Linked DNA regions of Canis lupus familiaris. The protein of the gene in region 1 interacts with the protein of each later gene in a pairwise test. Links are inferred from orthologs where the notes say so. Each region holds a gene or a part of one and is shown on either strand. Other genes may lie near its edges.

Region 1 (4,907 bases):
CAAAAAACCAGAAAAACTTAAAGGCATGATGAAACTGTACAACCTTTGGCCTAGTGATTTCACTTCTGGGAATCTCTGAGAAAGCAGTCCAATATGTAGAAAAATATTACGCATAGAGGTAGTGAGGGTGGTTCCACAACTGAAAAATTAGAGACAACCTCAAACATTCAAAAGAAGCAGACTGGTTAATGAATAATTGCAATTACACACAGCAAAATATCATGCGGCTCTTCAAAATAATGCTTACAAAGATTTTTGAAGTGACATTTAAAAATGCTCCTTCTCTAAGGGAAATACATTAGCATGCAGGATTACATTATGGCAATTGTGTTACAAAATAGCTAAATATACCGGCAAGATAAGTATATATGTATTTATATTTAAAAATGTTTTCCCCTAAGTCGTGGGCTTGTGAGTGATTTTTTTTTCTTCCTCTTCTAAGGTATTCTGGTCTACATTTTCTGATGGAAAAAAAATAGCTGCTTAGTGGGTTTAATGAAAAGGAGGAAAATATGTAATTTGGTTTTGGAGGGCTTGCCTGTGCTACAACCCCTCCCACCCTCGGGGTGGACTCTCCCTCGAGGGGGATGGCTTTTGATGCACTGAGCTAAATTCAGTTACTACATGACTGGGGAGGGAGAAGTCTTGTACTTGGAGGTTAAGAAAGCGAGGGATCTGCCTCTCCCGGCCTTCCTGTCTCCCTCAGATAAGGAATAATCTATGGCGACTTGACTCTGCCACTCTCTTAGGACCCAGTTAACAGCCAGCATGACTCAGGCAAAGCAAGGAGAGTGTCTCAGTCAAGAAGCACTTAAACCTGTCTGCCGCTCCAGGATCCTGTCCCTGGAGACACTCGCCTTTCCCCATCTTCCCTTCCATTCTGTAAACATCTATTGGGAGCCTCCCGGAGCTGAGACCCCAGGTGAGGGCCCCAGGGAGCTAAGGCACAGTTATAAGTTCTGGTGCTACTGGAAGGAGAAGCTCCACATTATGTACCAGGGGTTATAACCAAGGTGTGTCCAGAGGGCCAAGGAGGGCCCGTACCTTCCCGTGGGGCACAAACCAGGCCAGACGGAGGAGGACACGGATGACAAAGGAAATCTTGTGCAGAGCCTAAGGAGCTCTGAAGTGCCTTGGGCAGCAATAGGTGCTTACTGAACTAAGGGAAGTGGGTTCCATCAGAGGTTCTCCCCGTGAGATTATATGTAAATTTGTACATTTCTGTGTATGTATCTGTGCATTTTTTCTAAAGATAGGGCCACAGCTTTTGTTAGATTTTCAAAGGATATACTGACCTTTTAAAAAGCTAAGAAAGCAATGGATTAGATTCACTGCTAAGAGTCCTTGCAGTTCTGACAACAGAAGGTATCCAAAAGCCAACAGCTCCCCACCCCCCACCCCGGGTACCTAACTTCTTTAGAAATCACTCAGCCTTCAAAGCTGCTGAGCCCAAGGCTGTCCACCCCGCAAAGGGAAACCCGATCTGGTGTTCTGTTCAGACATGACACGTTAGCATGGCGCAAGCCCTGCTCCCAGAAGGCTTGTGTATAAGCTTAGCACTAGAGAAAATTAGTATCTAGAAAATTAGTAACCAGACTGTTAACTTTTCTGCTCTTGCCAAACAAAGCACAGTGCTTTGCATGGTGCAGGTGCTCGGCTGGTCAATATTTGCCTGGGATGGAAACAAGATTTGATTTGAATGGGAACCCTGCTTTGAAACCTTCTGCAGGAGCTGAGCATCACTGATTTTGGCCACCACACCCTTTGCCACACAACAGGAGTCTGACTCGACAGAGGGCCACAAAGCACCTGCAGCAGCTTGGCAATGGCTGTAAATGAGGCCAGAGGAAACTGCCTGGCCTTGCAGGTTGTATGGACTGAGGTCTGGAGAGAAGCCTGTCCTGCAAAGATAGGAAAGATGGTCATCACTCTGGTGGATAAGGTACGGACCTTCTCCGAGTGCCGGGTGGACAGGCTGCCTTCTTGAGGACCCCTCAGGCCTAGGATTCTGGAATTGAAGGGAATAGATGACTCACCCTCAGAGTCACGGGCATTTAGCCAAGCATCTCCGCCCATGCATCTAAGACCAGCAGCCCAGGTGGGCCTCCTACTCAGTTACGGGGCTTTGGACAGTCACTTAACCCCTCTAAGCCTGGGTCATCTCACCTGCCAAGTCAAGGGACTGGATGAGACAATCTGCCCACATCTCTTCCACCTCTAAAAGACGTTAATGTTATTACTGAGCCATTAAGATCAAACAGGGGAAGAGAAAAAAGCATTCTGCGTCTGATACGTTCCTGTCCAGTCTCCAAGAGATCTACACAAGGAGCTCTGCTCAGAGAGGGAAGCTGATAAAAAAGGACAAGTGGCACTGCCCCAGCAGGAGCTAAGTCCCCAGTCCACCTCCTCAGCTGCAGCTGCAGAGCCCCCCACGTGAGTGGCTGAGCCCTTTAAAAGGCAGGGGAGGTGGTCCAGGCCATGAAGGGCATGCCCCTAATAAGTGAGGGTGTGAGGCACCCCCAGCCAGCAATAAGGTGCTCTTGTGACCAGTTTTCTCACTGTGCCGTCCAGGCCTCAGTTTCATCATCCATAAAATGAGGGGGAATGCAGAGGGCTCTGAACTTGAACACTTCAAACTGACCTCGGGAGCAGAGAGGCAGTAGGTAGGGCGGGGTGGGGGACCAGCAGTGAAACGGTGGGGTCAGCTCTGCGCACACAAACACCAGACTTTCTTCAGCGCCCTCCAGGGAAGGAAGGCTTCCCGTTCGTCCCGGGCAGGGGGCCGCCAGGAGCGCCGGAGGACCCAGGCGCCGGGCGGGGAGGCGGGCAGGCGGCCAGGGCCGGGGCGGCTCACCTGATGAAGGTGGTCTTCCCCGTGGAGTACTGGCCCACCAGCAGGACCATGGGCTTGTTGTCGAAGTCCGCATCCTCCAGGGCGGGCGAGTGAAACTCATGGAAGCGGTAATGCTCTTCCAGGGGCAGCAGCTTGGTCTTGTAGAGCTTCTTGAGCCCCTCGCTCACCGTCTGGAAGACCTCGGGGTCTTTCCGCCGGCGGTCGTCGGAACCCAGCCAGCTGAACATCGCGGCCCCCGCAGCCCCCCGGGCGTGCAGCCCCGCGTCCGCGCCCTCGGCTCCCGGGGGCAGGGGCCCCGCAGCGCCCGCCCGCCGCTCCGAGCCGCGCGGCCGCCTCACCCCAGCGCCGGGCTCGGCCGCACCATGGCCCGGGCGCGGGCGGGGGGTCCCTGCTGAGCGCCTTCCCGCGGCCCGGCCCGCCTCCCGCCGCCAGCGGCGACCCGGGCGGGGCCCGGAGGAGAGATAATCTGCGCCGGGCAGAAGGGCTGCGATCCGGGAAATTAAAGTCAAACCTGCAATTAAACTGCCAGGTGCCGGGGTGCGATGTCGGGTCCCCGATCTGCGCCGCCGCACCCCCGCCGACCTGTCCCGCCCTGGCCCCGGCGCCGCGAGGGGATGCTCGGCGGCCGGCGCGGGGGGATGCTCGGCGGCTCGGCGCGGGGGGATGCTCGGCGGCTCGGCGCGGGGGGATGCTCGGCGGCTCGGCGCGGGGGGATGCTCGGCGGCTCGGCGGCGCTGCGCAGCCCGGGCACAGCTCCGCAGCAGCAGCAGCCCGCAGCCCCAGGCGCCGGTTTAAATGCCAGCCGTGCAGGAAGCGGGCTCGCGGAGGAAGTCCCCGAGTACTGGCAAGGCCAGCCCGGCCTGTCGGTGCCGGCGCCGAGAAGCTGAGCAGGGCGCCGCCATGTGTGTGGGCAGGCGCTCCGCTGGGGACCCGGCGACCGCAGCCGGGAAGGGAGGGATGCTGAGCCCCGGGGGAACGCTCCGGTATTTCAGCTCCGGCCTCTGGAGGGTTGACTTGGGAACAGCGCCCTCTCAGGGACGGCTGTGAAGACGGAGCTGACCCCCTCCGCCCTCTCCCTGCTATTAAGACAGCCTTTCCTTTAGTGCCTGAGGCCAATTCCTCAGGAGGACAGGTACCTGGTATTGGGGAGACTTTTTCTTGGGGCACAGAAGAGTCCAATATCAGGTTACACAAAAATGACCAGAAAGGCCACTGCCCAAACTTTTTGTTAGATCTAGGGTGAAGTCAAAAGAATGAATTCCCATTCATTCATTCATTCATCTGTTTATCTCTTCCAGTAAAACAAAACTAAGCAAGCAAAACTCCCATAAGTGGTGAGCCTGTATTACAGGGCAGACGCAATTATGGTGACTGTGGATACAAAGTTAATCACAAAGATGAGCACACATAGGCTCTCCCTTCCGGGAGCCCCATTCTCCGGGAGCTGTAAGGAGGAGACAGGAGCAGAGGGCCATGGGTGCACAGAGGAGGAGGCATTCATTTGGTCTGTATAACATTTTTTTAAATGTATATTTTATTTATTTATTCATGAGAGACACAGAGAGAGAGAGAGAGAGAGAGAGAAGCAGAGACACAGGCAGAGGGAGAAGCAGGCTCCATGCAGGGAGCCTGATGTGGAACTCGATCCCAGGTCTCCAGGATCACGCCCTGGGCTGAAGGCGGCGCTTAAACCACTGAGCCACCCAGGCTGCCCTGGTCTGTATAATCTGAGCAAGGCTTCCCAGAAAGCAGGACTACATGCTAGATCTTAAATGATGAATCTCCAGAAAAGCAGGAAAGTCATCCCAGGCTGTCCACAGGGCATTTGCACAGGTTGAGAAAAATGGAAGAAGTCAGAGTAAACAGTTTCTATAGCTAGAGTGTAGGGTTCAGGAGGGTGGAAGGGAGTGAGTGAGGCCAGTCCAAAAGGCTTTGCTTGCCAGAGCAAACATCACATGGGGGATAAGGAGCCAATAATACTGATATTACTAATAATTGTCAACAGTAACTAAGCGCTCAGCATGTGCAGGGGCCTGGGCTAAGCTCTCAGCAG
Region 2 (5,041 bases), on another chromosome or scaffold:
TCCTCCCCATCAGTGCTCCAGGCTGCTCGAGTGGCTGAAACTCAGCCTTCTGGCTCGGCAGCCTCCTGGGTACACCGGCCCCGAGCCTTGCCCTTCTATGGCTGAAAACTGCAGCCCTGCCTCGCCCACATGGTGGGCCCAGAGGCCGGAGCAGACGGCACCACCTCCCAAGTCAGGGTCCCGGGCTCTGCTCTTCCAGGCCTGGCTGTGTGACCTTGGGCAGGTCGGCCGTCTTCCTGACTGACCTTCATCTATAAGTTGGGGGAACCTCCAGTACCCCCTCCCAGGTTGGTGGGGAGGGTTGGTTGAGTCTGGGCTTGGTGAGGGGCACGCCCCCCTTCTCCTGCCCCAAACTTCTCCAGGCAGAGTCCAGGTACGATGACCAGTGGGAGAGGCAGGAAAGGGTAGCCTGAGAACCCCAGAGGGAGGTGCCCCAAGGCTGGATGGACTAGGTCAGGGGAGCTGACTAAGTATGAGCCTCAGCCATTTGCCACCTCTGGCCAGGCTGCTTCCTTTTCTCCCGCCCTTCCCCCCAAAGCTGAGTCCCTAAGCCCTTCTGCTTTGCCACTGCCTAAGAGTGTGACCAAAAGCAAGTTATCTAATATCTCTAAAGCTTGGCCTCCTGATCTGTGACACTGTGAACAGGTGAGGGGTCACCAGCCCAGCCCCAACAAAGGCTTGTTCGGAGACCAAATGAGACCAAAGCAATTTGTCTTGGCAGCTAATTTCAGTCTCCCCAGCAGTGTTTCTAGAAGGCTGGGGTCACTTTTTGTTCACCCTGTGCTCCCAACACCCTCTGTAGTGCCTGATATTTAGTAAGTGCTCAAGAAATGTTTATTGAATGAATAAACAAACAGTGTGAAGACTGTAAAGGCCCCAGAGATACTAGTTTCTCCTCCAGCTTCTTCCCCACCCCCATCTCTGTCCCAATTCAACATCTGGGCTTTGGTAACACAGATATTTTCTGAGAGTTTTCAAAAGCCCGGGAAGTTCTATTTGGCTCCAAGGGAGATGAAGTACACAAAAATGAAACCCACATGGTCTCTGTCCTCAAGGGAGCTTAAAGATGTCTGGATTGGTGAGGGGAGGCAAACAATGAACCAGGCCCCCCAGCATGGCAAATCCCACACCCTAGCAGAGGAAGGGCCACAGCTCCAAGAGCTTGAACGTCTTCTGATGATTCTTGCTCTCAGCCCCTACCCTACCCTTACTCTCATGAAGATCCTCCCTATGCCTCCTGTGGCAGCTGGGCCTCAGTTTTTCTTCTGTATAATGGGCCAGTAGCCAAGGCACTGGCCTGCTCCACAAATGAATGTCTATACATGATCCTGGATCTCTTCTCAGGAGGGGAGCTGCCCTCCCCTGCTTAAAACCCACGAAGCTCCACGTGGCTCCATCCACCCTCCTTAGCCAGCAAGGAGCCCTGGTGCTCCGGGCCAGCTGCATCTCCTGATCCTCCCTGCCATGTGCTAAGGGCCCCAGCAGCACTCCCCTCTCAGGGCCTCTGCTCTGGTGGCCCCCTCCATCCGCCAGAACGCCCTTCCCTCAGCAGGCACCTGGCTCCTGCTATCTCCATTACCACGCAGGGCCCAGCACAGAGTAGTAACTATAAATACTGTTGAAAGAACGACGAGTAACACACACTCATCACACCCCATAGTGTAATATAATAACTAATGTTAATTAAATGCTCGTTACCTCCTGTAATCCTCACAACAATTCTGTAACAGAGACCCTATCATCAACCCCACCGTTGACACCCAGGCTGTCACATGCCCCACAGGAGGCAGAAGCAGCCCACCTCAACTCCTTAGCTTCTGCAGCCACTTCCCCCCAAATCCTCCCCTCCACATCCCAACACAGGGCCCGACCTGGCACCCAGACATTGTACCACAGGTACAGAGTAAACCAAATGCATCTGTACCAGCGGATCCTTGAGGCCATCCTCTCCTCCCTTCTCGCCTCCACCAGGGCCCTCCCAGGGAGCACAGGTCTGCAGCAGGACACCCCAAGTCTGCAGACCCTGCCAGGCCCGGGGAGCCCTGTCGGGGGCACTGTTGGCAAGAGAGGCCCTGAAGAGGTCTCTGGGTCTCAAGTTGCAGATGAGACAGGAAGCGCCAGGAACCCTGTGCCTCAGCTTCATGTTCACTCAGCGTTTGATGAATGAGTGAATACATGGAGAGGTTCCAGGGCCCAACACACAGAGAGCTGAGATAGAAGCCCCAAGTCAACGGCTCTGGGGGTCTGAATAAGTTTTTCCATGAGAACCTCACTGGGCAGCTGGGGGGGGGGGGCAAGAAGGAGCCATCTCACACCCCGGGCAGCCCAGGCGGTGGCTGGTGTCAGGCAGACCTCAGGAGTCTTCACCCAGCCTCCCTGCCCCGGTGAGGACGGCAGGCCTGTGGGCACACACTGGGAGGCAGATCTGCGTCCTACCTGGGGTGGGAGACGGGGTGTGTATCATCCAACCACTACTGACCCAGGGTCTCCTCCCTGGAGCCAAGATGGCACGGGGGAAGGAGACAAGGGAGCAGGGCCCCTCACGGGCCGACGGGCCTCACTGCGGCGCGGGGAGCGGCGCGGGGAGCGGCGCAGGGTCCCCAAGGAGGGCCAGGTGTCCCTTTGGCGGAAATCAGTGCCCTGTGGGCGCGGCCGGGGCGGGGGCGGGGGCCCCTGGGGCGGGGGCCAGCGGGGAGGCGCAGGCTGCGGGGCCGCGGGGCCGCGGGGCCCCGGGGCGGGGGCGGGGCCTCGTGGGGGAGGGGCCCCGGGGACGAGCGCTCGGGACCCGCGAGCCGTTGGGGGCCCAGCGCCCGGGTCTGCGTCGCGGGCCCCGGGGGGCGGCGCCTGCCACCGCCCGGCTCCGCGTCACTGAGGGGGGCGGGGGTCCCCGGCTCGGGCCCGCGCCCCCGCGCCCCGCGCCCCCGCCCGCCGCATCCCGGGCACTCACAGCAGGTCGGGCCGGTGCCGGTGCAGGATGGCGCAGAAGGCCAGGCCGTCCCGGAAGGAGCTGCTCAGGTCGCGGACGTCCACGCCGCGGTAGCCCTCGCACTGGCGGCGGCACCAGGCCAGCAGCGCGCCCCGCGGCCCCGCCATGAGCCGCGCGGGGCTCGGGCCCGCCTCCGGGCGCCGCCGGCACCAGGCTTCAGCCCCCGGCCCGGCTCCGGCCGGCTTCCGGCGGCGGCTCCCGCGGCGGCTCCAGCGCCGACTGCCGCGCCGCTCCGAGCTGCGGGCGCCGACCCGCGGGCGGCGGGCGCAGGGCGGGGAGGAGGCGGGGCCGCGGCCGCGGGGTCCGCGCTCGGGCTGGGCTCGGGCTGGGCTCGGGGTCCCGGCTGCGCTCGCTGCCGCCCGCCCCGCCCTGCCCGGACCTGCCCGAGCAGCCGCCGCCCGCGTGGCCCGGCCCGGCCGCCCGCTCGCCGCCGCCGCCCCCTCGCTGTGGGCCGGCCGCGGGCGCCCCGCTGGCCCGGGTCCCCGCCCGCCGCCGCCGCCGCCGCCGCCGCCGCGGGGAGTGGGGTCCTGGCGCCCCACCCAGCCGCGGCTCCGCCCCCCGACGCGCCCCCGCCCGCCCGCGGGCCCGACCCCGCGCAGCCCCTTGCTGGGCGAGCCGGGTCGCCGCTCCTCCTCGGGAGCCCCCGAGAACTCCGGGACGGCCCCTGGAGCCCTGTGACCCACTGCGACCTCGCCGGCCGCGAGGGGCTTCTTCCACCCGACGACCCTCACCACGGTGCCCACCTGGAATCCTTTCTCCGCTCCTGCCCTCTTCCCGCTCCTTGGCCTAAGGACCTGCAGACCCCCCACACCGACTTTCCCTAAACCCACTGAGCCCTCCTGCCTGAAACGTTGGGCAGGCAGTGCCCCTGCTGAGCCCAAAGCACCCCAGATGGCCACCAGCTTCCCTGACCCCGTCTCACCCCTCCAAAACACCCCTGACCTCCACAGTCTGTCACCCTCCCCTCCCCCCATTGCCTGCCAGACTTCAGCCCCCACCCCCATCAGTCCAGGTGTGCACTCAGTGGTGTCTTGAGCCTGACAACTGGTCCTTCGGAGTGCGCTCCCCCTGTGTCGGCCCCTGTGTCGGCTCCTCCCGCCCCAAGAAGTGGTGGGGGGTGGGGCCCCGTGGGCAGAACCCATAGGAAGCAGGCCCTTGTCTGGTGGGGCTCTGGGCCTCAGGGCTTTGGAACCCCCAAGCCTCCTGCTCCCCTCTCCAAGACCTGGGTCAGCGGCTCCTCCCCCCAGAAGTCCCTCCTGACCTCAGATGAATCAGCTTTCCACTCAGCTGCCATGGTGGTGACGTCACTTTGACCAATATAATAGCTGGGATAGGTCTGTCGCTCCACCCCCAAGGGAAGGAGCAGGGTCTTAGTCACCGCTGTCACCCCTTAGCTGTTGGAGGCTGGGAAGAGCAGGGCTCTGGGAGTCCTATCCACCCAGGCTGGAATCCTGGCTTTCCCCAGTCCCTTGGCAGTATGATCTTGTGCGCCCTCGAACCTGTTTCCATAGCTTAAAAATAGGGATAATTCCTGAGTCAGGTATAGAATTGTTGAATCAGTATATTGTACCCCTGGAACTAATGGAACAATGCATGTTAATTATTCTCAAGTAAAGAAAATAGAAATAATTCTAGCTTTACAAAGTGGCTGAGAGGATTCAGATATAACACACCCGACCTTTCAATCACTTGTAAATTGTAATTATTGTTACCTGGTAACCTGGTAAATGTGTGACAAAATGGATTGAAAACATTTTATACCTGGCTTCTCACCTGGGGCCTTTTGGGTGTATTGTGGAGGAGAGAAGCCCCCTTGGGGATTCCCACCTCCTCAAACACCCATTAAGCCCCAGCCTAGAATGCCATTATGACCCCAGCCAGGACCAGCCTCACATCTTAGATCTGTTCAAGGTTAGACAACGTGTTCTTGGTCCAGAGTGTGGACTCTCTCTGGGGCCACCTAGGAAGTGGCTGCTGTAAGTGCCAGGCTGCCTAGTGATCCCCCTTGGACGCTTGGTCCACACCAGCCTGTGCTTGCCACCTCCTACCCTGCCC
Region 3 (5,083 bases), on another chromosome or scaffold:
TTTTGTTCACTAGTCCACTTACCAGCTGGGCAGTTCTTCCGGTCTTGGTTGGACCCTCTCCTACATCTGAGATCAGCCACTGCCCAGGTATGCAGCCCTGAGGATCTTGCCAGAGCTCTCTCACATATTTGGGGATTGATTTGTCTAGAACAGCTTTGACTGGGTTAAATGAGTTCTGCTCCATGGGGTCTTGTAGCTTCTATCAGGCCAGCTCGGGCTTGTTCACAAAAAGAGAGCAAGCAAGGATGTCTGGGTGGCTCAGTGGTTGAGCATCTGACTTTGGCTCAGGCTGTGATCCCAGGATCCTGGGATCGAGTCCTGCATCGGGCTCCCTGCAGGGAGCCTGCTTCTCCCTCTGCCTGTGTATCTGCCTCTCTCTGTGTTGTCTCTCACAAATAAATAAAATCTTTAAAAAAAGAGAGAGAGAGAGAGAACAAGCAGAAGCATGCAAGGTCTCCGTAGGCTAAAGCTCAGAACTGTCACATTGTCACTTCTGCTGTCTTTTAGCCTTCTGTTGGCCAAAGCAAGTCATAGGACTGGCCTAGATCCAAGGATGGAGAAATGGACCCATCTCTTTCGAGAAGGAACCACAAAGGGGTAGGTATCCATTCATAGGCTGCCATCACAAACAGACTGGGTGACTTAAACAACAGAATTTTGTTTCCTCACAGTTCTGGAGGCTGGAATCCAAGATCAAATTGCTGGCAGGACTGATTTCCTCTGAGAACCCCATCCTTGGCTTGCTGATGGCTTCCCCCTCTCTGTGTCTTCACACAGTCTTCCCTCTGTGCATGTCTGTATCCTAATTTCCTCTCCTCCTAAAGACACTGCATGGGTTTGAGTTCCTGTAATGACCTCATTTTAACTTAATCACTTCTTTAAAGACCCATCTCCAAATATGGTCACATTCTGGGGTAGCAGAGGTTAGAAGTGCAACATACAAATTTTGAAGTTATATAACTCAGTCCATGAAGGATAGAGACTATGCCCATCTTTGCTTCATCTAGCACAGACACCTTGCTTTATCCTACGTATGATGATGACCCTACAAAAACATCACCAATTCACTCACGAGGAAGCTGAGGTTCCCAGGTGGTAAGTGGCTTAGGGAACCAGCCCAGAAGTCCAGGACCTTCAGACTAAAAGGCTCTCTCACATTCCCTTTTCCTCACTGGGGGTATGTTCCCGGGCAGAGCCCAAGATGGGGGCAGGTTATCTGGAAAACCAGTTCTTCCTCTTGAACAAGCTGATGTGAGAAACAGGGCAAAGGCCAGCCATGCCCTGCCCCCATGGGTCCCCTCCTCCCTGGATCCACACACAGAACACCCAGGTCTCCCCTCCCTTGACCTGGAAACACACTGGTTAGTTCTTGAAACAGAGCCTTGAATTCGGGATGTCAGGCACACTTCCCAGGCTCCTGCAGGGTGCCACTCCTGGTCCTTTCCAGACAGTTTTAAAGCGGGGAAGAGTATCCTTCCCACATTCGTATCAGACTGCTTTTTACTTCTGGCATAAGCTGTGCTGTTTTCCTGCTTCCTCACCTTTGCATATGCCATTCCCTCTGCCTGAAGTGCCCTTCCCTTCTCTCCTACCCCTCTGAGCCTGGCTAACTCCTCATCAACCTCTAGAACTCATTTCAGTGGTGCCTGGGTGGCTCAGTCAGTTAAGCATCTGCCTTTGGCTCAGGTCATGATCTCAGGGTCCCGGGATCGAGCCCCCCCATCCTGCTCAGTGAGGAGTCTGCTCCTCCCCCCTGCTCATGATCTCTCTCTGTCAAATAAATAAAATCTTTTAAAGGGGGTTGCTGCTCCTGTCTTAATCATGTACCAGCCACACCCTACTTGTGGAATTTGAGCAAGTTCTTTTTTTTTTTTTAAGATTTTATTTATTCATGAGAGACCTGAGCTGAAGGCTCAACCACTGAGCAACCCAGGTGCCCCAAATTTGAGCACGTTCTTTAGCCCCTCCGTGCATTAGTTTCTTCACCTGTAATTGTGTGAAGATCCAGGGAGTTACTATATGCCAAGTACCTAGAAGAGTCTCTGGCACAAAGTCAGTATGCAGAGATGCCTGAGTGGCTCAGCAGTCTAGCATCTGCTTTTGGCTCAGGGTGTGATCCTGGAGACCAGGGATCGAATACAACGTCAGGCTCCCTGTGAGGAACCTGCTTCTCCCTCTGCCTGTGTCTCTGCCTCTCTTTCTGTGTCTCTCATCAGTAAATAAATAAATCTTTTTTAAAAAGTCAGTATGCAATACATGTGAGCTATTATTTGTGTTATTATCCCCCAGAGCCCTGAATAGGACCTGGCCCGGGAGTTATTTGCTGAATTAATGAATTATGAATGACCTTCAGCTTCATGAACAGAAGACGGGAGCATGGGGATGAGAAATAAGAATATCACCAAGCGCCTTAAGCATTTTAATTAGAGCCTCCTGCACGCCCCCGTGCTGTCTGGCCACCGCTTTCTGCTCCTATTTTTGTTTAGCCTGGGTGGCACTTTGAGGATCAGAATTTGGGGCATCATCTTCTGCCTGCGTCCTGAGCCCATGTGCCAGACCCAGTGGCCTCCCACATGCCTCCCAGCCGCTGCTTTAAATAGCTTCCTTTTGCTAACTGTTAATATAAAGCCGGGAGCAGAGCTTATGTAAGCCGACCAGCATTTCCCCCAACTTAGCTGAGACCCTGAGTCCTGTAAATCCCACCAGAGGGGGCATGCGGGCTTGTCCCACCAACAGGGGCCCTGGAGCATCAATCTTCTGGAGAGACAGGTGGCAGAGGCTCAGGGGAGCTCTGGGGAATCACTCACCTGTCCCTGGTTGTACTTAAAGAATTCAGATACTTGTCTCACATCTTCCCATTGATCTGGAACAGACCTGGACCTCGGGGTCTTTGACATTCTCCATGTGATTCTGATGCTCAGCAAGATTGAGGATCACAGGCCTAGAGCCTCTGGCTTCATCTACCAACCACTGGGTGGGCTCTTTCCAGGCATTAAGCAGGGGTCTCACTTTCCTGACCCCCACCCACTTTTTATAAGCGACAGCAACACTTCTGGGCATAGTCCTTGAGTCCACTGGGTGGTCTGTGTGCCTCCTGTGCAATTTTGCCCTCTCTATAAACCACCTGTTACTTACTTTGAATACTACTCACTTTTAAATTTTAACTTCATTCTAAGAAGATGTGAAATAATGGACTGGATGTACTAGTCTGTTTTCTTTAATACACAAATAAAGGCCAGACTGTTAAAATTTAAACCCATATGCTACAGAAAATCATTTTGTGCAGAGCCAGGAGAGGGAGGGAGCAGGGAGGAGTCACCCCAGGGTACATGGGATCAGGGAATAGAGGGTGCCTTCCAGGGTTGCATATCAAGAAAGGCGATGGGACAACTCCCAAGTCAAGACCAGCATAAGTATGTGGAAAATGCTTAGAATATCTCTAGGGGAACCTACAAGAAACTAGTAAAAATTACCACCTCTGGATCTTTTGGACCTTTTTTTTTTTAAAGATTTTTTATTTATTTATTCATGAGAGACAGAGAGAGAGAGGCAGAGACACAGGCAGAGGGAGAAGTAGGGTCCATGCAGGGAGCTGACATGGGACTCGATCCTGGGCCTCCAGAATCACGCTCTGGGCTGAAGGTGGTGCTAAACCGCTGAGCCACCTGGGCTGCCCCCCCTCCTTTTTTTTTTTTTTTTACTTTTAAAAATAAATCTTTCGGGGTGTCTGGGTGGCTCAGTTGGTTAAGCGTCTGCCTTTGGCTTAGGTCATGGTCCCAGGATCCTGGGACTGAGTCCTGCATCAGGCTCCCTGCTCACCAGGGAGTCTGCTTCTCCCTCTCCCTCTTCCCCCTGCTCATTCTCTCTCTCTCTCCTCTCTCTCAAATAAATAAACAAAATATTTTTAAAAATAAAATAAAAAAATAGGGCAGCCCGGGTGGCTCAGCGGTTTAGCACGGTCTTTGTTATTTTTTGTTTTTGTTTTTGTTTTTTTTGTTTTTCGAGCAAAACAAAATCAAATTTAATGGTCTTAAATGCAAAAGTAAAAACAAACAAAAAACACAAAAAAGCAAAAGAAAATTAACAGAACAGAACAACCCAAAATGTCAAGGCAGTTATGAAGAGAACTTGGGAGGGTTAATCTTTAAAACTACAAATCAAAGTGTTTTTTTTTTTTTTTTGTTAATAGATAACTGGCAAGAAGTAAGTACTTTTCTGCTGAGTGTTCATACGAAAGCAAAGTTTCAAAACAAAATCCGACTAAAATAGAAACAAGTCTAGCGCTCACGAGAAGGGATGCGAGAAATACAATGCTCAAATGTTTCTGTGTTCTTAAAATATAGAGCGATCTTAGGCATTCGAGCTGTGTGAACTGCTCTTGGAAAGTGGAGAAATGGTTGGGAACACCAGCGCCCGGTGTGCGGGGCACCGTTAGCACGGTCTTTGGCCCAGGGTGTGATCCTGGAGACCCGTGATCAAGTCCCACGTCAGACTTCCTGCGTGGAGCCTGCTTCTCCCTCTGCCTGTGTCTCTGCCTCTCTCTGTGTCTCTCATGAATAAATAAATAAAATCTTAAAAAAAAATAAAAATAAATCTTTTTATTTTTCAAGAGAAAGAATGGGCTTAACAGAAGAGTCGCAGATAGAGATGCCAGTGTCCCACTCCAACTTTAGCTGAGAATGTCCAGTGCTATCCAGGTAGCAGTGGCACAGAGCTGGGGTGGGGGCACCTGGCGTTCTAGTCACTGGAGACCAGCTGCCCTATGTGTAGGACACTTCGGTTTCCTCAGGCTTCACCTAGGGCAGATCCAGAAAACAATCTTTTCACTAAGTTTTGGCTCAGTAGGTGCTCTCTGAAGACATATTGGCTCTCCATTCCATTCCTAGATGCCGGGCCGTATAAGAGAGCCAGGCTGAGTATGCCTTGGCCAAGTAGAAGGCCATGAAGACACCAGTCTCAATAAGCTGGAGGAAGCATCCTGAGGGGTCCCCTGCAGCAAGGTCTCAGGGTCTGGAGGCCCAGAGGACAGAGCAAGGAGCCGTACAGGCATCATGGGGCAGTCACATAGTACTGAGTCTCGGTT

The links.
Region 2: the proteins of EHD3 (region 1) and MICALL1 interact in binary tests that used the Homo sapiens proteins (3 or more experiments, as listed by UniProt). The link is inferred for Canis lupus familiaris from reciprocal best matches to the Homo sapiens genes EHD3 and MICALL1.
Region 3: the proteins of EHD3 (region 1) and RBSN interact in binary tests that used the Homo sapiens proteins (3 or more experiments, as listed by UniProt). The link is inferred for Canis lupus familiaris from reciprocal best matches to the Homo sapiens genes EHD3 and RBSN.

Annotation. Positions count from the first base shown.
Region 1 is NC_049238.1:24,855,601-24,860,507, reverse strand, and holds the start of EHD3 (EH domain-containing protein 3), read right to left. Parts: upstream 3,149-4,907; 5' UTR 3,082-3,148; coding exon 2,855-3,081; intron 2,008-2,854; exon of another isoform or gene 1,951-2,007; intron 1-1,950. UniProt on the Homo sapiens protein: ATP- and membrane-binding protein that controls membrane reorganization/tubulation upon ATP hydrolysis. In vitro causes tubulation of endocytic membranes. Binding to phosphatidic acid induces its membrane tubulation activity.
Region 2 is NC_049231.1:27,740,152-27,745,192, forward strand, and holds the start of MICALL1 (MICAL-like protein 1), read right to left. Parts: upstream 3,108-5,041; 5' UTR 3,094-3,107; coding exon 2,948-3,093; intron 2,535-2,947; exon of another isoform or gene 2,437-2,534; intron 1-2,436. UniProt on the Homo sapiens protein: Lipid-binding protein with higher affinity for phosphatidic acid, a lipid enriched in recycling endosome membranes. On endosome membranes, acts as a downstream effector of Rab proteins recruiting cytosolic proteins to regulate membrane tubulation.
Region 3 is NC_049241.1:5,268,476-5,273,558, forward strand, and holds the start of RBSN (rabenosyn-5), read right to left. Parts: upstream 3,108-5,083; 5' UTR 2,808-3,107; intron 1-2,807. UniProt on the Homo sapiens protein: Rab4/Rab5 effector protein acting in early endocytic membrane fusion and membrane trafficking of recycling endosomes. Required for endosome fusion either homotypically or with clathrin coated vesicles.